4 linked regions of the Drosophila melanogaster genome follow. The gene in region 1 interacts genetically with each later gene. Each region holds a gene or a part of one and is shown in the gene's direction. Other genes may lie near its edges. The genes, in order: Itpr, Pka-R1, sl and IP3K2.

Region 1 (5,192 bases):
GAAAGGTGCATTGCACTTTAAGTGCCGAAGTGCTCTTCGTCATTAGGATTTTATGGACACCTTTTTGTGCATAACAGCGATAATTTATTGCACAAGAATCCAGTTTTGTGATTTCCTTCATTGTACATGAGTACAGTGCGATGAAATCACTTATTTCATTTGAATGGTTCTTTACATTTGTACCCAGTTTGTAATATTATATATTTTTATTTAGAATAAGTGACAAATAAGTACCGATAATACTTTAATGTTGCCAAATAGTAGACAATATTGTAAATCACTTAGCTCAACTAAAGACCATCAATAATTAAAAAGATAATTATGATTATAAATCTTAGCTTTCTAATAACCAAACCCCTACAAACTCCTTCTATATATCATTCTGCAAACCTGGTTCATAACAACAAAACGCATTTAAAGTAATATTGTATAATTATAGTTCAATTTGCACATTTAAGCACTCTTTCGCTCTAAGAGCTCCAGTTGGTTAGCTCATGGATATTGGATTCTGCTGGCGCATTACCGCTTGTCATCATCCCATTTCCGAATCATTTCCCCTTAAATTATGGAAATGAATCGAACCAGGTCGGGTTAAACACAGATACGAGTATGTGAGCAGCTTCAAGCGATGGAGGAATGGTCGGAAATGAGCAGGTAATTGCATTTGGCCACCGACTTACCCGATTCTCGATGAGCTTGTCGCACACATTGAAGACCGTCTTGATGGGATTCTTGTCCATGCGGATGGTTTTGTCGTAGTAGGTGACCTTCCGCGGCACATACTGCTGATCGAAGTTGAGGTGCTGCGGTTGGATGGGAAAGCGTGATTATCGCATTCGGATTAGTGGAGCATCCAGTTAGTCAATGGGCTTGCCTTTATTGTGGTGCTAAAGTGCTCCTCGCTGTCGGAATTGCTCAGTACGCCGCCAATGTTGTACGTCGAGGGATTATCCGAGGCAGTGTGCCTCTGGGCGGCATCAATTGGCGCCACCAGGAGAACAATGGCGAGCCCAAACAATGGCCGGCAAAAAACAAACTCAGCCATAGCCATGATGCGGAAGTCTATAGTTTCTGGGGGAGGATAAACGAGGTGTTTTGTGCAACGATTTCAATGGTTTCTCGAGCAAACATCCAGCATTTTCTGCAAGTCGAAAAGGGGAGATGCCGCATATTAATGGCATTTTCCATTTCCCATTGCAGCAATGAGAATGGTCAAAGACAAGATTTCTTAAAGTTTATTTTGCTCATTTTTGAAAAAGCAGAACTTTGAATTCGCGGTGTTTTCTTACATATGTGGTAATGCCAGATCGCGAAAAAATGAATACCAACGCAAGATCGTTAGAGTGACCATTTCATTGTGTTAATAGGCATTAGAAGCAAAATCTAAGTATGTGAGTCGATGAGTGGAAAGATTTTAATCCTCGGCCAATCTATCAACATTGATCTGGAATTTTCAAGCACAGATGACTAAAAAACTATGAATATTTGAATAAGATTCAAATCTCTACCCTGTGCTGCCATGCTAACTAGTATTTAGAGTATGTTAGTATTTTATCCATGCGCTCCCATCTAATTTATCATATGGTTGGTTCTGCGGTTTTCAAACACTTGCTTATGTCATTCCTTGTCAATAGTAAATGCAATTAACGTGTTACTGTCAATAATTCTATATATGTGTGCATAAAACAGTTAAGATGTCAATTACACCATTTATTAACGGCTAACTAGTATTTTTCGCGCGGTCACACTAATCGATCATATGGTTCGACGGTTTTTAAACACTTGTTGCTCGACCGCGCTTTCAGTCGGACGTGTTTTCGCTGGGGTTTTCCGCGTCGGTCCGCCTTATCTGCGCTGCGCTGGCACTTCGTTGGAGTGAGGGAGACGGAGGAGCTGAGCGGTACGGTACACGAAGTCGCGCATGACGCGGCGCTCTGGAAAATTGCATTTTCATACGCCTTGAGCGCGTAATTTATGCCCGAAATGCTGGCCAATTTCAATTTGTTGGCCTAAACGCGACGTGCGTGTGTGGGTGTGTGTGCGTGATTGGGAAAAGTGCGTAGAAATCGACAATCGTTTTGTTTGCCCGCGCTGCTGCTGCGCTGCGACTGCGCTGCTTGTGGGTGGTCAACGGGATCGTGGGGTCGGGAGAGCCGATTGTTGACGTTGTATCGCATGCTGCCTCTCTTTCCCGCAGCCGGAATTGTTTGTCGCGTGTTTTAACGGTTATTTCTTATTGACAAAACCTCCTCTGCCGACGTCGCTGCCCCGGCATTGTTATTGTTATTGTGTGTGGTTTCTGGGCCTTCTTCTTCCTCCTCACCGTATTCCCACTTATTGTTATTCTCTCTTTTCCGCGGCTAAGTGCGGCCCACTCAAGGTGAAAATATATTAAGTTCTTTCGAGTGCCCGCGAGTGTTTGCATTTGAATAAAATAAATATAAAGTCAAATTCGATTTACGATCGTCGTCTATCGACGGATGATTCAATACCAATCACAATACAGTAGCACATCTCTACAAGGGATATTTTACATTACATACATTCTACGGTGAGTATCCCACGACAACGACAACGACAACCTGTTGCCAATCGAGCCCAGTTACTGGTTTTTCTGGTTTCCCGAAGGGCTTGCCACCAATTTAAGTAGGTCATAAGGCAATAAGCCTATCACGACCGAACCGATAGGCTAATTACCGCGATAGCTATTATCTAGCAGTCACGCCCTCGCCTTTTGATCCCACTTGATTTTGATTTCGTTCTTGCCTCTTGCTTTCGCTCAATAATTGACAATAAGCCAAAGCGAAAGGGCCAGAAATGCGCTGAGATTCAATTACGTTGCAGTGGCCACTATTTGTTGCTTACACGAATAGAAAAGCTAAGGAAAAAACATATAAATCCCACTGATTGAAGACATTTGCTTATCGGGGGTATGGTTCTATGCCAGCTACTCAAACAAAATATAAATAAATCCTTAGGGAATCAACTCCGAAGTCAAGTGTTGATTTCAACTCAAGCCACTATGTATATGAACGTGATGCTTTCCAAAATTGTTTTGTGGTGAGAGGGATTGTTTGTTGTTATACAAAAATTCTTCAAATGGGAGTGTTTAAGAATTATAATGACGAAGTAACATAGTCATAATTAAAACTCGTATTTACTCGTAGAGTGAAAGGGTATACCGGATACATATATTATTGATCAGATCGAGATTTCGGGATCTATAAAATCTAGATGTGCAAGTTTAATTCACAACGTCCGCGCCCACTCTAACGCCCACAAACCGTTCAAAACAGTCACGCCCACAGTTTCGAGAAAAGTTTGGATTTTTTTAATCCTAATATTTCTTTGTCAGTTCCTAAAGTTATGCAAATCACTTTTGGAAATTTCTCACTTGACGTCCTCTGAACTGAATGCATCTGCGTTCGAGAAAATCAACTTAGCGCCGATATTTTCTCTCAGTGCACACATCTTGATTGCAGACAGCGGAAAAGAGAGAGAGAGCGAAAGGGAGAGAGAGAAAGAGAGATGCTGACTGGGCGACGCGTGCTTAATTAAGCGCCACATTGTTGTTGGTGTTGACTGGGCAGGTGGCGAGCTATAGAGTAAGAGGCAAGATGAGGGATACCAAAAAAGATGGGGGAGGGGGATGAAAAGTGGACGTGTTGAGCCTGCTGCACGCGATGATTTCCATTACCTGGGGTAAAAAAATGGCTTTTCATCGCCAAATTCCTCTCTGGCCAAGTTTTTTTGTTGCGATTGAAAGAGCGCACTTCACTACTTCTTGATTTGCATGTAATCATGATTGGGTTAATGGGCCTATGATCACACAATTACGATCAATTATATTCACATTATAATGTCGAACAAATTACTAAATTATACAATCAATGGGACCAATAGATAGTATGTGCAGTGAGTTTCATTTATTGAAGATAACCAGTCAATTGAGATGTCATTTGCGGGTACTTTGATCAACCGGCTAGAAAATGTACATATATATTCTAATTTTTAAACGCTAGTTCGGTATAGTATTAAAATTTTTTTGATTATTATGTTTTTGTGCAATTATATATGTATATTTAAAAAAAAAAGTTGGAACTTGACAACTATTTTCTCTTTAACCACGATTCAGATGTCATCAATTTTAATATAAAGAGTTAAAAAATTCACAATTTGTTTTTGTTATTCTCTCAGAATCCCTCAACTGTAGTTGATAATTCTCCAAAAGTTGTCGTATAATTGCATTTGACATACTGATAACGTTTGTGCATGATTTTTAATCAATAAATTTTACCAACCAGCCAAATTTGTTCAGTTTTGCCACTTGTCACCATTTAAACAAACTGACCACAAAGATATTACATTAAATAAATAAAACACATTGAAGATTCTCAGGTATGCTTATTTTTTTGACCACAATCGTGTGTTTGCTCCAATTTATGTGGGCTTGCCATGAGCATGTGCATAATTCGAAGCTGAATTGAGCAGCTGGTGGGGATTTTGTGGAAGGGGGGGCGGTAAAGTGGCCGGGGTTGGCGCCTGGGAGCGCCAGCAATTAACATAAACAGGCAAATTGTGTAAGCGACATTCTGGAGCTGCAAATAAAATATAAGCGCCCGCCCCCCGCCCATCCGATGTGCACAGCCCACTTGGCTGCAATTATTAAGGGTGTGTGTGTGTTTGTTCGGATGCGGAGGTCGGGTGTTATCAATGAAGCAGACTGGATGAGAAGCAAAGTGTTCTCATCAGCGCCAGTCTGGTGTGATTGTGTGAGTATCTGTGTGCTTCACGTTTTTTCTGCTCAGGTGGGCCGAGGTCTCTTGGCTTTTCAATTGCTTTGAGCCACCAGACAGGGCCCAGACTTTTAATGAATGGCCAAATTGTTGAAAGGCGCGCTCAGCACATGTGCCCTGCATTACTCATTACTCATGTTAAATGGTTCTTAAAGGATTCTCACTTCACTCTCACTTCGCCGTCCGTCTGATCTCATATTCTATTAATCCCCATAAATATTTGATCAACCCCCACAGTTTCAAAGCTCCCAGCATCCAGATGGACGAACAGCGCACCGAATTTCCCCAAGGAAAGCTGTTACTCTCACTCACTCTGTTTTGTTAAGGGCAGCAAAATTCCCAAATGAAACGTATCGAACAAACATTCAATATATACTATCAACTATACTATGTACA
Region 2 (5,152 bases), on another chromosome or scaffold:
TTGGGCTTAAGACACCTTGGCTTTGCCTTCGCCTTGCCGCATTCCATCTTCTTCCTGGGGCGGGGACATGCCTTCCGGGGTCGGGCGCCCTTGGGCTTCGGTTTGCCGCAACTGCGACGTTGCTTCGAGGTTTTCGCCCGTGGTTTGGGGCAACTCTTCCGCACCCTGGGCTTGGAACACTTGTTCTCCTTTCTTGGAGTGCAGCTATTGGAGCCACCGGCACCGAAGAAAGTGTCTGCGCAGCCACTTATTTCAGAGTGCATTCTGTGCTCGCCCTCACTAGAACGCTGAAGACTGCTCACACTGTTGGGCTCTACATGAAAAGTGTCCAATGGTTCCTGCGGAAGTGCATTACGATTGCATACATGTGCATTTCGTTTGTATTCGACACCTAACTTACCGCAGAATACTGGCATCGATGACGGAATGACATTTCGTTCCATCGGGTTTCAGCAGCCCGTCTTATCTCGTTATTCGAGTAATATTCTCCGTAGCGCTTCTTAAAGTCCCTCAGAAAATTAACAAAGCCAGACGATGAGGCGTATTCGTCCTCTGCCCTATTGATATCTTCTTCAATGTCGGAGGCGTCGGAATTAACATATTCAATTGATTTTTTATAGGTTTTCACTGATTTTGTTACTGCCACCTCCGGCTTGCTATCCTTTTGTTTCAGATTACTCATTTTGCAACCAATTCTTGCTCGACAGAAATTTTCACAAACAAATTTGTTACTCAGAATTATACAAAAAAAAATTATATATGTATAAAAAACTGTACTCAATTTTATCGAAATATTTTAGTTGTTCCTCGTTCAAAGGTAGTGTACTAACTGTTTGTATGCTGGCTTCAGCGTGGAGACCTGGAAATTGGATTTGAATGAAGGCTCAATTCTACTATGATCAAGAAAAAGTTCCTTTTTTCAAACCAAGTTGGCTGTTTTCAAAGTACATTTCGCAGATCGGCGCCATATTTCCATGGTTATTTTTGTATACTATATTCGTTCAAGATATTGTAGGAGAAAATGTTTAATGTTTCTTGATCAGTATCAGTCGAGCTGGCCATATTCGTCCGTCCGTGTGTCTTGAAAAAGGTTTTAATATTCTGTTTGCAATCCGACTAGCTGAGTAACGCGTATCTGATATTCACGAAATAGAATAGCGTACTTCCTTGTTTTCAATGAAATGAAATGAACAAATATTTTACAAAAGCAATACTAAATGTTATATTATAATCTGAACAAAATATGTAAGAAATACCAGAAATGTCGTTGGTGAGGGAAGGTGTTTAAATTATCCTGTGCGACTACGTTCCTTTCCGGGGTTTCAACCACTTGGTAAGCAACAAGCGGCATTTTGCTGGTTAATGCTGCCGCTTAAACGAAAATCAATACAACTTGCGGTCTATTTTCGAGCGGATTGTTAAAAAAAAAACCCATCCATAGGTGGATTTCCCAGCACGGATGCTTTATTTTCGGCTTCCTGCTTCGGAGAACTGTATTCCCTCTGTTCATTGTGAAGCTTTAAAGTTTATTTTGTGAGACAGGCTGCAGCAAAAGCTTGCAATGCTGCAATGTAAATAGAGCAGCGCACCTGTGGAGGTCCTTTCCACATCGTCCTGTTCCCCCTCTCACTTGCCAAGCGACTTTCCTTACCCCTTTTTCTCCCAACTTTGATTTTGAGTACGCCTGTGTGTGTGCGCCGGACTCTCTGGGGCAAGTTGCCTGTTGAATGCCGGACCCGCTGTCAGTTGGATTAGCATCCTGACGCCGTGCAGAAGCATCCTGCTTCCACCTAGTTCACTCCGTTCGTTTGCTTTTTATTTGTTTGCCTCCGCGCGCCATGGGCAACCAGTTGAGTGTGAACAGCATCCAGGATGCGGTCATCGATCGCTTCCGCTCGGTGGCTTTGACCACCGATGCCAACGGCGCCATGCGCATCCGTTCGTTTTCGGAGGGCGTGGTGGCCACCACCCACCATCATCATCAGCATCAGCAGAATCAGCAGCAGAGTCCCCATTGCAGTGGACGCGGCGGACGCATCCTGCGCGAAAGTAGCATCGATGGCGGGGTGGCCATGTTCGATGCTCTGCTCCGCGATGATCACGAACATCGGCTGAGCTTGGATGCAGTGCATCGCATGCGGCATGTTCGCACCTCCTGCACCACAATTCCCGAGGAGGATGCCGTCAGCGATCGCAGCCTGCAGATTCATCTCTCCACTCTGGCCCGCGAACGTGAACAGGAACTTGAGCTTGAGCGCCAGCGGGAACGCGAAGTAAGTTGGAAAGTCGGAAAAGTTTCCAATTTCCGGAAAACAGTAGGAAATCACTAGGAATTTGTGCTGAAAAGCTTTTGGCGGAAAAAAGATTTAAAGTGTGGGAGTGTGCGCATACTAGAAAGCTTTGAATCGTTTGAAATTGGTGTCTTGTTGATTCGATTTGTGACTACAAATCACGATGTCGTTAGTTCTAACACAAATAAAAACATGCAAAAAAATGTTTACCTTATTCCGCGAGCACCTAATACCCTACTTAGAATATAAAAATTTAATAAAATATGAAAAAGTTTGCTATGTTTTACGTTAAGGCCTTTTAATTCTTTCAAAATATCTTTCGTATCTGAAGAAAAAGAACGAACAGGAAGAAAATGTTCACATTTTATTTAAACATTATAAATTTATTTTTTGCAAAAAGGTAAATGGAAAGGGGTTAATTTTTGGGATACAGTAGAATATAGTAACCTAAACTATATACTAATTTAAAGAAAGTGCATTTCATAATGCCCCACGAGCTGCTTTTTGCGACAAAATGTCGAGTTTGCACTTGAAACTCGAAGGGAATTCTAACGAAATCAAAGCGCTCCCTTCGCTTTCCCTTTAGCACTTCTGGCCCTTTTCTCCCGTAAAAGCTTTTCCCTTTGCCAGGACTTGCGTCACAAGTGCGAGTGTATGTGTGTGAGGTGGTGGGCGGGTGTGCGAAAAACTTTACTTTTTGGCCAGTCGTATTTGTATGTATATATTTGTGTATATATAGAAAGGTTGCCTTCGCTGGGCGTGTTGGTGAAGGTCATCCTGTCGTCGTCGAGATTGTGTTTGTGTCTGGCTGCTAGAGTTTGCTTTCGTCCTTTCGTTTGTCTCAGTCACTTTTTGGCCACCGTCAGTTGCCCATCGTTGTTCCCAATTTTAGTTTTTTCGCCAACTTAACTGCTCAATTTACTAGTTACCATTCACCTTTTGCGGTCGTTACTTTTCGACTTTCTTGCCTGATTGATGGCCACGCGAATTCCGCTGCTCCGATCATCGAATTGTCCGGTTTAACGGTCGTGTTAATGCCGCTTTTACGGCTGTCATCGCTCCGTCCGGCGCTGTTTACGCCGGCTTCTGATTAACAGCGGAATCGTGCCAAAAACTACGCCGGACACTTTGTCCCCAGTGTCCGCCATAAAGTACAGACAAACAACAATCAATTGTGTTGGCCAAACGAGGTTGGAAAAGTGCCAAAGCGGAAGTGACAGGAACTCGACCAGCGAAATGGTGGGTAAAATTCGAAGTGTTAAATACGGTTAACTTGGTAAATATTTCGGAAAGAATTGGTTTCAATAGCGTTTTTATAGTGAGGAAGAGAAAGGGTCCCATTGCATTAACGCTTAAGAATCCTTAATCTTTAACATTCAAGTATTCATTCTTCTTCCGTTCCTTCATATTTCTATATTATCCCATTGAAAGGTATACAATTCTCATTTTTAGATATTTATTAGAACTCAAAGTTGTTAATAGTAATATTACTTTCCGATTATCGAATTGCCATCAAGGTATAACTGGATACATTTTTCTTCCAAGCTATATAAATAGTCTCCTTGAGGAAAAACAAATTGACAACATTTTTTTTTAATGAAAATCAACAATTTTAAATGAAATCAACACTCGTATTCTATCCAATCTGTTTGTTTCCTTCCAGAACGCAAAGCATTTAACATACAATTCCAATGAAAAATTTCCCCGAAATATGGCCTCGAATTATGCTCTGTTTACTTGATTAAATTGTTATTTTACTACCTTTTATTTCCTTTTTATGCACTCGCATCGCATTAAAACGATTTCTGTGATATTTTTAAGTGGGTCCGATGAAAGCAATTTATGAGCTCAAAGAAGCTGGGGTCGGAAAAATCGAATTTTTGAAATTTGAAAGCTGGAATCGTTTGCCCATTTTTTGCCCATGTTTGCCCACCAATTAGTTTTTTTTGCCCACGTCCAGTTTTTGAGATATGAATTTTCGAAAAAGTTCGAAAATTTTCGAAAATCAAAAATTTCGCTTTTTTCAAAATTTTTTTTTTTAAATCGCAATAACATCGTTTGCCCACGTTTGCCCACCCTTTAGAATTTTGAAAAAATTTATACTTTAGAAAATATAAGGCTTTTAAGTTTACCTCGGTCTAATCAGAGAGTAAATCGTTTGCCCATCTCTTAAAACCAAATATTATCAACAAAAAAGGTTTGCCCAACCATTATTATTAGTTTTTATCGTTTGCCCACCCTTTAAAAAACCTTTAACAAAAATTTTTTTTCGATTGCCCACATTTAAAATACACCCAATTTCGTTAGCCCACCTCTTTAAAATAAAAATTTCCAATAAAAAACGTTTGCCCACCATTTAAAAATAAATAATTTCGATTGCCCTGCGCTCTTTAAAACTAAATAATTTCGTTTGCCCATCCTTTAAAATTCATTTTTAACGTTTGCCCACCCTTTAAAAATAAATTATTTCGTTTGCCCACCCTTTAAAATTTGTTTTTTTCGTTTGCCCACTCTTAAAACTAAATAATTTCGATTGCCCACCTTTTAAAACTAAATAATTTCGTTTGCCCATCCTTTAAAATTCATTTTTAACGTTTGCCCACCCTTTAAAAATAAATTATTTCGTTTGCCCACCCTTTAAAATTTGTTTTTTTAGTTTGCCCACTCTTAAAACTAAATAATTTCGATTGCCCTCCTTTTAAAACTAAATAATTTCGTTTGCCCATCCTTTAAAATTCATTTTTAACGTTTGCCCACCCTTTAAAAATAAATTATTTCGTTTGCCCACCCTTTAAAATTTGTTTTTTTCGTTTGCCCACTCTTAAAACTAAATAATTTCGATTGCCCACCTTTTAAAACTA
Region 3 (8,251 bases), on another chromosome or scaffold:
TTCTACCGACTCGCCCTTAATTTTTTCATTTTTATTTTTAATTTTTTCTAACACCATCATTATTAAATCATACTGCTTCGCGTTAAAATATTCATGATCGACAACGCCGATCTTTAACAAATTGCTATGATTAGCAATGAAACATTTTTGAAGCTCATTTAATTTTAGAATTTCTACATCTGTTAATGTTGGTTTTACTTCCAACTTTCTAATTTCCAAAATAATTTCGGACTGCTTCTTAAGGAATTGAATAGTCTTTTCTGACATCATTTTGAAAATTTTTTGTAATTTCTTAATATATATAGTACGTGTATATGTATTTTATATGTATTTATATATATATGTGTGTTTGGATAAACAGAAAATTCTTGTTTTGACTTAGCTGATGTCGTTGTTGTTGCTGCTGCTGTTGCTGCTGTTGTTGCTGCTGTTGCTACTGCTGTTGCTGCTTCTGCTGCTGCTGTTGTTGCTGCTTCTGCTGCTGGTAGAGGCTCCTTTGAATTTGACTTCCTTCTCTTCTTTAAGGCTCCGTCGATGTTTAAAGATGATTTTTTTTTTTTTTGCACGTTTTATTATTTTTGTAGTCCAGTCAGATTTTTTGTTTTTTAGCCATTTATTTCGGCATTTATGCTCTTTTGGCATATACACTGCACTCTATTTATGAGCTGATTTAATGCTATTAGAGCATTTATAAGGCACTGTTTTCAGGCACTTTTTATTTAATTTATGCTCTTATGGCATATACACTGCACTCTATTTATGAGCTGATTTAATGCTATTAGAGCATTTATAAGGCACTTTTGTTATGCACTTTTTAATTTCACAATTGCTGATGTATGGCCTCAAGCACGCCTTACCACAATTTATAATGGTACACAAAGCAACCTTTAGCTATAGACTATAAGGTGCTTGTTTTAAAACATAAAAGATTCTTTTGTATCTTTTGCTTTTTATATTTATACTCTGTTCCTTACCTTTGGTAGGGGGAAACAAGAGTCACTTATTTTTGCTACCTTTAGCTGTAAGATGCTTAAAGGAGCTGGCCTTTCTCTGAGTTCCTTACCTTTGGTAGGGGGAAACTGCAGAGTCGATTAAAGGCTCGATTGACCAAATGTAAAATCCCAAATAAGAAGACTTTACTCGTTGAGTTTTTGTAAGAAACTGATTTTATTTGGAAATATCTTCGGTTTAAATAGGTGACATGAGAATCGCATCTTAAAGTAAATGGCCTACGCAGAGGCCTAAGTAAATAGTCCCCGCCTTATCGAGGTCCCACGCTCGGGCACATCTGCCTATCTTGAGCGGCGAGGACCTTATCTGTGGTCTCCCACTAAGGGACTATTTTAGGAGGCGGGGAACGATCTCAAGTGACTGACTCATGTAGTGTGCACTTAAATTACATGTTTTTGAGCAATGCACCCATGTCGCCTTAGATAACAAAATCCTAAATATAATTTATCGCTCTCGATTCATTTACATAAGATATGAACGGAGCCCAAAATTGTAAGTCTTTAAATATATTCGTGTTCATGTGTGAACAGGTAGAAAAGCAGACAACAACAATCAGTCAATTGCCTAAGCTTATTAATTTGTAAATCTATTTTAAATACAATATCAAGAAAACTTATGTTCGTTTGGTTTCAAGTTAGTTAGTTAGGAATTCTTCAGGTCGGGATTTATTTTCCTATCTACATAAGGTGAGTTATAATAAAAGCTTTAAGCTTCTTCGATTTGGTTGGTATGCTTAGTTTTGCTTTATTCAAAACTAGGAATACTATTTACATAACGAATTTTTGAATCGCACTTCAAAACAAAAGATAAAACTGGTCACACTTTAATATTTCAGTTATTCAAGTATGTAAACAATGGAGCAATTTTTAAGCTAAACTTTTAAATAAAATAGTCAATTTATTTTTTTATTTCCTCACAATTCGAAATACACCGCAGTGTGAACGCCCCATTTGCGTGGATTTAGTATTTTCTGTACCCACATTACGGCCTGGCAACACTGGCACTTTCCTCAACAGCTGGCTTATCTTATCTGCTTCTGTGGTATTTTTTGGGTACAATTCGGATATTGCATTGTTAATCTCGGTTTATTGAGTCCCAGTGGCCGTGATTTGTGCATCGACCAGTTGGAAGAGAGGGAGCAGTTGATCTGCGAATAGTTCCACGCGCTGGCACCCATAGTTTGTATGCATTGCACTTAGTCTGGCGATCGGTTGGCGAGGCGAGAAACAACCTGTGGCAGCCAGCGGATGAGAACTGGATTCGATAGGAATCGACACGTTTGGACCGGACAGGATGAGCTGCTTTAGTGCGATGAGTGCCCCGCTGCTGGGCGAGATGGAGCAGACCATTGGTATGCTGGAGCGCGGCACCATCGTGACCAAGTTGTATGGGAAACAGCGTCGTCCGGATCGCCGCCACCTGATGCTCATACGAGAGACACGACAGCTGCTCTGGGCAACGGTGGCCACACAAACGCCACGCACCGACTACGAGGGCGCCATACAGCTGCGGGAGATTCGCGAGATACGGGTGGGCAAGCACTCGAAGGAGTTTCGCCTGTTTGCCGACGACTGTCAGCGCTTCGAGTCCAGCAAGTGCTTTGTCATACTGCACGGCAATCACTTCAAGCTGAAGAGCTTCTCGGTGGTGGCTCTGTCGGAGATCGAGGCCGACAATTGGGTGCGGGGATTGCGTTACATGGTTAAGGACACACTGGGAGCACCCTATCCCTTGCAAATTGATCGCTGGCTGCGTCGCGAGTACTATCAAATCGAGAATGTTAACACGCATTCCGCCAAGGCCACGGAACAGTCGCCAGCCCAGGTGACCATTAAGGACTTTAAGCTCTTTTTGGCCGGAGTTAGCTGTAAGATGACCACCGGCAAGTTCATGGAGCACTTTACCGAGGATGTGCGGCGCAAGCACGATCTCAAGTTTGATGATTTCTCGCGGCTATATCAGAAGTTGCTGCTGCCCAACGGATTTGCCAGCGTCTTGTCCGGATCGGGAGTGGCCAACTTTCCCTATTCGGAGGACCAACAGGTGGTGCGACCGGCGGAGCTGAAGCAGTTCCTCGAGACGGAACAGCGCGATGTGAGCGCCAGTGAGATCAGTAGCGCAGCCATTGCCTCCTTCATTCGGGACTTTGTTCAGGACGTGGAACGTGATGTTCAGGAGCCGTATCTCACCTTCCCGGAGTTCGTCGACTTTCTGTTCTCCAAGCAAAACGACCTGTGGAACAGCAAGTACGACCAAGTGTTCATGGACATGAACCTGCCGTTGTCCTCCTACTGGATCGCATCGTCGCACAATACCTACCTGACGGGCGATCAGTTCTCCAGTGAATCCTCCTGCGAGGCCTACGCCCGCGCTCTTCGCATGGGCTGCCGTTGCATCGAGTTGGATTGTTGGAACGGGCCCGACAATCTGCCCTACATATTTCACGGCCACACCATTACCTCCAAGATCAAGTTCATGGATGTCATCAAGACGATTAAGGATCATGCGTTCACCAGTTCCGAGTATCCGGTAATATTGTCCATAGAGCAGAATTGCTCCCTGGAACAGCAGCGGAATATGGCGCAGGCCTTGATCGAGGTAAGTTGACCTAATCGAATCTATTAATAACAACAATTTATATATTCCATGCAAACAGGAGATCTGCATGTTTGCTTTTTGATTCATTCGCTGTAATAATGAGTTCTTTTATGGCTTTCTGTGAGATTGCCTAACTTAATATATAATTGAAATGGATTTTGTATATTTCGATAGTTGGGAATATGTATGACAATATGAAGAATTCGCTTTTTATTCGTTTGAATCTAATTATAAATGTAACAGAGCAATATTTTTAGTTACTTAGATTTCAAGACGATGGTAATTAGATATTTCTTGATGCTTTAAGTATTAATCGCATAAAAATCCATTGACTTATACCTTTTATGACCCATTACAGGTTTTCGGGGATATGCTGCTTACGCAACCTTGTGATCGAAACGAGCAGCACTTGCCATCGCCATACCAGTTGCGTCGCAAGATAATCCTGAAGCACAAGAAGTTGCCGCAGTTTGACGACATCGCGAATGGGATTTCTAGCACGGGTTCACTGGGCCATAGATCATCGTTGGGCGGAGCGGGCGGTGGAGCGCATGGGGAGAACGATGGCGAGAATGTGCGCAAGGTGTTCAAGGAGGGACTGCTCTACTTCAAGGATCCGGTCGATAAGTCCTGGAATCTTTATCAGTTCGTTCTGACCCATCAGGAGCTAATCTACTCCTCTGAGATCAACGAGTCACGCAACGGAAACTCCGAGGATGATGACTTTGGGCTTTCTTCGTCGTGCTCCCTAAACAGCAATATGCAGCAAAAGCAAAAGGATACCTCGGCCAACGATGAGCTGCACTTCGGCGAGAATTGGTTCCATGGGAAACTTGAAGGTGCGTTTATTGGTTGACATATATGCAGTATATTCCATTTGTTTCGTTAACAATTTGCATTTTAGGTGGCAGAAAGGAGGCTGATGATCTACTAAAGAAGTACAAACACTTTGGCGATGGTACATTTTTGGTTCGGGAATCGGCCACGTTTGTGGGAGACTATAGCCTTTCGTTCTGGCGACGTAATCGCCCGAATCATTGCCGCATCAAGTTAAAGCATGAAAATGGATCGATCAAGTACTATCTAGTGGAGAATTTTGTATTCGATTCACTGTACTCACTGATCGTTTATTATCGCAAGAATATGCTGCGTAGCTCAGAGTTTTCGATTATACTGAAAGAGCCAGTTCCGCAGCCGAAAAAGCACGAGGATCAGGAGTGGTTCCATCCGAACACCACCAAGGAGCAGGCCGAACAGGGTCTATACCGGCTGGAAATTGGTTCGTTTCTAGTGCGGCCATCGGTGCAGAGCATTAACGCTTTTGTCATTTCGTTCACAATCAATCGAAAGATCAAGCACTGTCGCATTATGCAGGAGGGACGCTTGTACGGCATCGATACAATGAACTTCGAGTCTCTGGTCTCGCTGATCAACTATTATACCCGAAATCCACTCTATCGCAATGTTAAGCTCAGCCATCCGGTGTCGCAGGAGCTGCTGCGTCAGGCGCTAGCGGAGGCGGCACAGGGTGATCATAGTGGCGGTCACGATGACAACGGTGCCTCCAACTACATGGGCTCCAATCTGGAGGAGAATGTCACGTGCAAGGCGCTCTACAGCTATAAGGCGAACAAGCCAGACGAACTCTCTTTTCCCAAGCATGCCATCATAACGAATGTCCAGAGGGACAACTCGATGTGGTGGATTGGAGATTATGGTGGCATGATCAAGAAGCATCTGCCGGCAAACTACGTTAAGGTGAGATGCATATATAGATTTATTTGAAATTCAACTATATTCAACTCTTGAAAATTCCAATGTCTAGGTTATCGATTCAACTACCGAGGACTACAATTCGCTGAACGAAGAGGGCACGGATGGACGCACCGATTCCATTGAGATTTTCGGAGCTGTTGCCTCGCTCTTTGAGTCCAACGATCCGGGGATTATTTTCAAGCTGCAGATACAAACGCCAACGATGCAGAATCCGTTTGTGATTGGCTTCGACAATCAGGAGACGGCGTACGAGTGGATAAAGGCAATCCAGGAGGCAGCCCTTATCGCCAGTCAGCTGGCATCGGAGAGGCGGAAAAAGGAGCGCACTGCCCGGGTGGCCAAGGAGATGTCCGATCTGATTATCTACTTCCGCAGCGTGCCGTTCCGCGAGCACTCGTGGATATTTCAGGAAATGTCGAGTTTCCCCGAAACGAAGGCCGAAAAGCAGTTCTTCCAGCAGAACACACAACTGTTTCTCTCCTACCATCGCAATCAGATTAGCCGAGTGTATCCGAAGGGTCAGCGCCTGGACTCGTCGAATTTTAATCCCATGCCATTCTGGAATGTTGGATCCCAGATGATCGCACTGAACTATCAGACAGGCGATAAGGCCATGCAGCTGAATCAGGCCAAGTTTCGGAATAATGGACAATGTGGCTATATCTTAAAGCCATCGTTCATGAAATCTGACAGCTTCAATCCGAACAATCCGCTGTGCGATGGCCTAAGCGAAGTTAAAGTTAGCATACGTCTGATAGCCGCACGTCATCTATTCCGGGGCGGCAAATCGAACAATCCGCAGATCGTGGTCGAATTGATTGGCGCTAGCTTTGATACGGGCGTTAAGTATCGCACCAAAGTCAATGAAAATGGTTTCAATCCGGTGTGGAATGAATCGTGCGAGTTTAACGTGCGTAATCCACAGTTTGCGATCCTTCGCTTCGAAGTGCAGGACGAGGATATGTTCGCCGAGACGCACTTCATCGCCCAGGCGTGCTATCCGCTGACCTGCATTCGCCAGGGCTATCGCAGCGTCATCCTACGAAATAAGTTCAGCGAGGAGCTGGAATTATCGTCCCTGCTGATCAACATTAAGATAGCAAATGTTACCGCACCGTAAGAGGATTGCTGAGTTAGCTGGATCAATATCAATGATTCCAAATCGAGTGTTTGCGAAAACAATTGCGCTAGATCAAAAGGAAAGCGAACTTAATTCGCAAAAGCAATTTATCAACAACTTGTACATAAGAACATTTCATCGAACTATGAACCTGATTCTCTCACTTGTAATTTGTCTAAAAAGCTTAGGATCTGAAACGTATGATTTAGATTTAGATTACTTTCTATACACATCAGCAGTTATGGTTAGTTCATACTATACAATGAGTATTCAAATGGTAACAATGAATTCTGAACTCCTGGAACTGAAATCAAGTTTATGTAATCCGTATAATTTGTACACTTTTCCATAACACTAAGCATTCAAGTCTGTTGTCCTCTAAATGTTGTATTTGTGCGTGAGATTGATTCAGGAGAATAGAATGATACGAATATGTTTTAACTATTCGTCACCTCATTATAAGCATAAGCAAACCAGATTTGATTTGATTTCGATTTAGGGAACTTGAGCTATTTCCATTTTACCAGTTTTACCATCAAAAGTTAAGTACATTAAGTTGATTCCAAAATTAGAAATAGAAACAATTCATAAACAGCTCAATTGGCATCAATTTAATGGGCATTTGATATTCAGTTTCAGGATCAGCTTTTCATAAGTATTATATTACAATCTTCTTAAAGACTTTTAACTGAAGAAAATAGACCACTTTCATATGTTATCTGGAAAACTATTTTAGACCTTTCTCTTAGCACAAATACTCAAACAGCATTTCAATCATTTAGCATTTACCTTTTTTATTTTCTCTTTTAAAGCTTAAAGTAATAATACAATTTATAAAAAAAAAAGGGCAAAGGAAATTTAAACCACTTTGATTACATATGTCTTCCAGTTGTTTAACAATTACGATATACCACATAATTGTGTCTATGTTATTTAACCACGATTGTTGTAGCTAATGTTACAAAAACTAAAAGTTTGCAAACAATATTAAAATAAAATGTAATTATTCAATTACATTTAAATGAACGTGCCTTAAAATTCGAAATGATCGAAATTTTAAATGTTTGAACGTTAACTATTGAAGTACACCTGTTGCTAAAATAACAAATATTTGAAAAATAATAATATAGCTCAAAGATATCTATTTTTTATAAAATCAAAGTTCTAACTTAGCTTCTTCTCTAAACTGCGAAATCTAAATATCTAAAGCCTAAGTTCAATAGACGTATTATTACTAAATGCATTATATAATTTATATATCTAGATATTCATAAAATGCACTAGTCGATTTAAGAAGTGGAAATTGTGCTCCCTATGCGAATCATTTAGGATTTTAATCTGAAACTATTTGCATTCCATACGAATGCCCCACTGAAACGATCGATATCATTTGTCTTGCACTCGCATTTAATTATTTAACAAACATTCTGCTGTTTCCATTCGCACAATAGTTCTAATTTGGACATTTTGCGCGTTTGAGCGCATTAGCAAATCATGCTTAGTATATATGTATGTGTATATGTACCCAAAATGTATTTCATTTGTACGTTCCGTTTTTAAGTGATTTGTATCTGTACGTCTAATAGATATTTTCAACTGTTTTTGTAATTGCCTTATAATTCAGTAAACACACACCATACGTATACATTCATAATTATTTAATGCCAAATAAATGTTTATCCGGCGTTAGCTGTCTATATATATACAAAGTTGTTTCTATATGTTGGATTTCTGAGAATTGAGGAA
Region 4 (5,389 bases), on another chromosome or scaffold:
AGGTCGTTGGTTTGCGGTTGAGCTATACAAATGTACTGACATATTTCGTCTTTCGTAAGTCATGTACGTAAATGGTTTTTGGTTTTTTATATTTTTTTTTTGTGTATAGCGGACTGTTCTCGGTTTTAATTTCGAAGAATTTAATCTGGGGTCGATTTCGTTTGGTTTTGTGTTTTGCAAAAAGTTGGTGTAAAGCGATAAAATGTTATTTGCGTCATTTGGTCTGATAGTTAACTATAAAAAGCAAGATGGGAACTTATTTATAAGCAGAAACATGAACACGATACGAACATGGGCAGAGCTATTTAATTTTGTTCATATTTCAACGGGAATTTTACAGCTTGTAATTGTTTACTAAAGACTGCTGCCAGTTTTAAACCATACAATTTAGTTTTTAATAAGTGCTTGTACTGCAAAATTTAATTATACCTTTTGTTTCGGTAAGCTTCATAAATCTGATCTTGAAAAACTAGTTAGTGCTTTAGTTGCTTTCCGGGAAAAGTTCTTAGTCAGCTGGGTTTTTTTTAATTCATTTTTTTTTTTTGGCGATAAATCACCGATTCGTCCCATTGTGCGTGACTGTGCGCTTGTAGTGGTGCTCGCAGAGTGCTTTATTGCATTGGGCTCGCATCGCCTGTCAGTCTGTCACTGTGTGTGCTGGTGTGCGTGCGCCTCTCTGTGTGTTCGCGCGTGTGTGTGTGTGTGCGACGTATCTGTGCCCGCTCAGTGCTCTGTGCTCAAATGCAATTTACAATTACGCGCGGCAATTGGAGCAGCTACCGTTGTGTGCGTGCGTACGTGCGGGATCATTGCACATTGCGTCAACGTTTCAAGATCACAATTACAATTACCCCGACGCAGTGGCAGTTGCAGTAGCACCAAAAAATCCATCTCAATTGCGAGAGAACCGAACAGTGGCAAAAGCAACCGAAAATTAAGTAAGGCACAGCAAATTTGTCGAAGAAAACTATCAACAATACAAGTAAATAAGAACGGCAGAACGGCCGCCCGCCCCCACAACAGCTGCTCTCCGTTGATGCGCCACTCCACTCCGCGGCTCAACGATTCTTCTATACAATTCTTCGAGCCTCCTCCCCTCGCCCATTCTCGCCCCACGAGACTCCCCTCCCCCCGCCCCCCACGCTGCTCTTCTCGATTCTTTTCGCCCCTCCCGCCGGCCCGCTGGAAAAAACGGGCAGAGCTGCAGAGCCGCAGAAAGCGATTTCAGTTCGGCGACGGCAGCGCACAGGTGCCATTCGGAAAGTGCGGACGTAGAATGTTTGCCGGGAATTCCAGTGGCATTTTCACCTATAGTTCCACTCGATTTTGCCTCGACGCCAGCGTTAGTAGCGCGTTTCGACGGAACACACAGATCGTTTTCCAACACCATAAGCACCATTTCACTTTTGAGTCTTTCCTTATCAGTCACTCCCAATCACTACCCAACCATCATCCACTACTCTTCACTAGTTTCTCTTTCTACTATCCTTTTTCTTATTATTCCCATCCTCCCTTTTAACTATCTTCACACACTCATTCTTAACGGAAATCTTCACTGTTTTTATGCTTTCTACTATCGTTCTATCCGCCAGCCTTTCACTTTTCACTCGCTTCTAACATTTACCATTCTAGCTATTTTTTTACCATCTCTTACCATTGAATTCTTTATATAAGCCTTAGTAAATTAGTATACAGAAAATAGTACGAATTTCCATTTTCCATTTTCTGCACTTTTTTCAACTTCTTCTGCTTACAACATCTTTCTTATCACCAATCCCATTACACTTTCTTGCATATTCCTATTTCATTTTTGCTGTTCTAACGAATCTCACACTTACTTCATTAGTCCCAACTCTTTGCTAACCTGGTGTATACATACCTTTACCCACCCCACCTCTACCCGCGATCCAGCCAATCCATCCATGTGAGATGAGTGCGTGCGACGGCGGTACGGGAACGGTTTCGCGAACGTCTGACGCCCCCGCTTTCCAATTCGATGTCATGCCAAAGATAACGACGTCGACGTCGACGTCGAAAGCGTCGGCAGCGAGGGCGAAAACGAAAACGACAGCAAAAGCAACAACAATTGGAAAAACAACAACGACGACAACGCGGAGAACGGTTAAAATTGAAAATAAATGGACGACGGCAGAGGCAACGGCGTTCAGTTATCAGCGGACAGCGGAGCAGATTGGAGCTAGTGCCCGAGCCAGAGCCAGAACCAAAGTAGCAGCTACAGTCAGAGCTAGAGCAAACCCAATTGCGGCCACATCCAATCAGCGAAGTGACATTGGTTATCCATGTGAGGTGGCATCCATCTCCGAGTTGGCCCTACGCAAGGCGCAGTTGAAAGCGCAATTTTTCGGCAATCAAGTGGGTGGATTAGCCCGCGATAGCGAGACAAGCAGCACCACTAGAATCACTCGCACCACCAACTACCGCAGTGCTTATCCCAGCTGCAAGACGGAACGAGGCAAGCCGGTGCAACAGCTAATCGATCAGTTCCAGGCCATGATTGTCCAGCAGCAGCAGCAGCAGCAGCTGAGCAACGAGGGCGAGCCCAAGACACTGCCCGGAGCCACTGCATCCAATTCGGATGAGGGCTGTAATGTCACCGGCGGCGGACTGAGTCCCTATAGCAGCGACAACGAGGATAACAGCCTATCGCCGAGGCAGCGCAAAATGAAGGTCACACGCTGTGCCAGTAGTGATTCCGCCCTGGGTCTGGACGTGGACGATGGCGGCATGGATGTGCCGTTGCCGCCACAACGTCGGATGACACTGACCGTAACGGATTTACCCCTGCGACCGGCCCTACTGCCACTGGCCGAACCCACAGCCCTGCCAGATTCGCCACTGACATCGCCCACCGGCGGTGGCAATCCGAGCGTGGGTGTGCCCACCAAGGTGCTGCTCGAGGAGCGAGTGGTAGCCGCACCGGGATCGCGACGTGAATCCACCCAGAGCTCGTACAGCGAACTGGGCGTCAGTGGACTGCCGCTGGGCGTGCGCTATGTGCGCACACCATCCGTCGTGGTTAGCGACTATTCGGATGACATAACCGCCTGCGGCATTAGCATGGAGGAAATGGAATACTTTCGTCTGCAGCGGGCGCGTGGTCAGCGGCGTTGTTCCCTGGAGGCGGGACATCACAGTCATAGCGGTGGACATGGCGCACATGGACACGGTGGATCGGGAGCGGCGGGAATGTCGCCGGGATGTGGCAAGGACGATGGCCAATCGGATGTCAGTGCAGCAAGCAGTTGCAGCAATCTCTACTATTGTGGATCCACCATTTCTGCCCTCGATGGTGGCGAGTGCATCGTGAATGGAGTTCGAGTTGCGCTCGCCAGGAAGAGCAGCACCCAGAGCAGCAGTCTCAGCGACGAGGAGGAGGAGGAGGAGGATGACGACGAGGATCGCGATGAGCAGGATCGCGATGAGGATGATCGCGATGCGGAGGAGATGCTTCAGGAGGATTACGAGCGGGGGGATCGCGAACGTGAGAGGGAGCGGCAGATCAGCGAACTAATGGCCGCCACGCAGCTTGGTGATCGTCAGCGGGATCGATCCAAGAAGGTAGGCGCCCGCGATGACGTCACAAACCAGGGAAATCTCAAACTAGACTAAAGAATTCGGGTTGGCAAAACGGACAAGTAACAAAGTGGAGCAGCCTAGTAAATTTAATATTAAACACTATTTTTTTTTTTTCGTTTTTAAATATCATTAATGATTGTTTGTGTTGTTGTTATCGAAAGCATAAAAGAGCAGTGAATGAGGGCAGGTCTGAATGGCAGCGAAAGAGATAAGCAAGTTGGTGCATATACACAGGGAGAAACGGGTGCTACGCGTAGATGAAATGTGGCATAATTAAAAAAAAAAAAAAACAATCTATTTTGCTCTAGAGCAGTATTATACCGTTTAGTTTATCAACTGCAAGACCATTATAACTATAGAAAAAGACTATAATAATAAGACTTTTACAATACGCATATCTATTAAATATAAAAAGAAAAAAAAAAACAAAGAAAATCCCTTGAACTACTGACTTGATAATGCGAATTACCACTAAGTTTCATCTTGTTTTAAAGATGATGAGATGATATATAGGCTCAAGAACGGTAATCCCGCGCCTTATCAGCTAATGGTTTTTCCACCTTGCATATGCAGGTCTTTTCTTTCAGTGTATGCGTTTGCTTAAAAGGCTATTAATTAATTAGAATTTTATCTTATCACTAAAATGAGGTTCTGTTACTCGGAGAAGTCTTTTTGTATTCTTCGCTTTTCGTTCGCTATAATAATTATCGTTTTTTTTTTTTTTTTTTTTTTTTTTTTGAGTGAATGAGAACGATATGATGGTGGTGATGTTGAAAAATAGGGGGTTCCTTGATAAAAAAAAAAAACAAGTATATATCTACGAAAATACGAAAACCTCGGATCCGTTGGTTTAATTCGTTTTTTTTTTCGTATCTAGAACTGCAAAACAAAACAACGGCAGCGATAGCGAGGAAAAGAGCTTATCTTAGTTAACTGTATACTGTATTATAGATAAATATTATGTACATATATAAGCCAGCACATATTTACGTTTATATAATGGCATCTTTTTTTTTTTGTGGTTTATTATTCCTTTTGTTGCTGTTGCTGTTGTCAGCAGACGGCGAAAAGTTTGTAAAGCAAATAAAAGTATTAGAAACCGAATTTTCGGAGTCATGATAACGATAATAAAGCAATTCACCTGGATATCTCATACATACATACATGTACATATGTGTATATGCAAGAGATATGGATATGTATGTTGTCTGATCGTATATGTATGTGTGCCAATGTGTGTTTGGTTAATAATGTTACGCGCTTATCAAGCGGGTTTATCTGCCTGGCATTCATATAGCAATATATGGTATATATGTATATATATACCCTCACCGCCGACAAAAGCAATAATTGGAGGCATCCCAGAAATGGCCTGTTGTTCTTCTACTTTTTTTTAAGCCACGGGCATGCGGCTTATATATGCTTAATACGATATACTATCTACTGTATAGTGTGGTTATATCTATGATGATCCCATCCGCCAGTCTAACACAATTGTATAAAGCTCTGTCTTACGGGTTGTTGTTTTTTTCTTTTATTTTTTTTTTTATTATTATTTTTTTTTCTTTGCGGTGGGATGAGTGATAAGCGATTTTGGGTGATATCACGCATACGTCATCGTTCCCATTAGGATTCGCATATATGTCTATATGACACACGAGCCCTCGTGTCGTTGGGGGATTACTCTATAAGTCCCGGGGATTGTGTTTATAAGCACAAAAAACACTGTTGATAAGAAAGTATCTCACAGAGATGGAGACATTTCTGCAAGCATAATGATAATATTGCACAC

Evidence for each region.
Region 2: of Itpr (region 1) and Pka-R1, changing one enhances a phenotype caused by changing the other (phenotypic enhancement), as found in Drosophila melanogaster (one study listed by BioGRID).
Region 3: of Itpr (region 1) and sl, changing one enhances a phenotype caused by changing the other (phenotypic enhancement), as found in Drosophila melanogaster (one study listed by BioGRID).
Region 4: of Itpr (region 1) and IP3K2, changing one suppresses a phenotype caused by changing the other (phenotypic suppression), as found in Drosophila melanogaster (one study listed by BioGRID).

Annotation. Positions count from the first base shown.
Region 1 is NT_033777.3:5,515,338-5,520,529, forward strand, and holds the start of Itpr (inositol 1,4,5,-trisphosphate receptor), read left to right. Parts: upstream 1-1,779; 5' UTR 1,780-2,551; intron 2,552-5,192. Other genes in the region: Nmdar1 (NMDA receptor 1), read right to left, coding at 681-803, 875-1,051. UniProt on the Drosophila melanogaster protein: Receptor for inositol 1,4,5-trisphosphate, a second messenger that mediates the release of intracellular calcium. Together with MCU, has a role in oxidative stress-induced ER-mitochondria calcium transfer.
Region 2 is NT_037436.4:20,817,197-20,822,348, forward strand, and holds the start of Pka-R1 (protein kinase, cAMP-dependent, regulatory subunit type 1), read left to right. Parts: upstream 1-1,768; 5' UTR 1,769-1,838; coding exon 1,839-2,273; intron 2,274-3,134; exon of another isoform or gene 3,135-3,527; coding exon of another isoform or gene 3,528-3,530; intron 3,531-5,152. Other genes in the region: Mst77F (Male-specific transcript 77F), read right to left, coding at 1-338, 401-682.
Region 3 is NC_004354.4:16,348,282-16,356,532, forward strand, and holds sl (small wing), read left to right. Parts: upstream 1-2,033; 5' UTR 2,034-2,304; coding exon 2,305-3,609; intron 3,610-3,967; coding exon 3,968-4,448; intron 4,449-4,513; coding exon 4,514-5,367; intron 5,368-5,434; coding exon 5,435-6,505; 3' UTR 6,506-8,201; downstream 8,202-8,251.
Region 4 is NC_004354.4:13,303,369-13,308,757, forward strand, and holds the start of IP3K2 (inositol 1,4,5-triphosphate kinase 2), read left to right. Parts: upstream 1-2,146; 5' UTR 2,147-2,511; coding exon 2,512-3,579; exon of another isoform or gene 3,580-4,636; intron 4,637-5,389.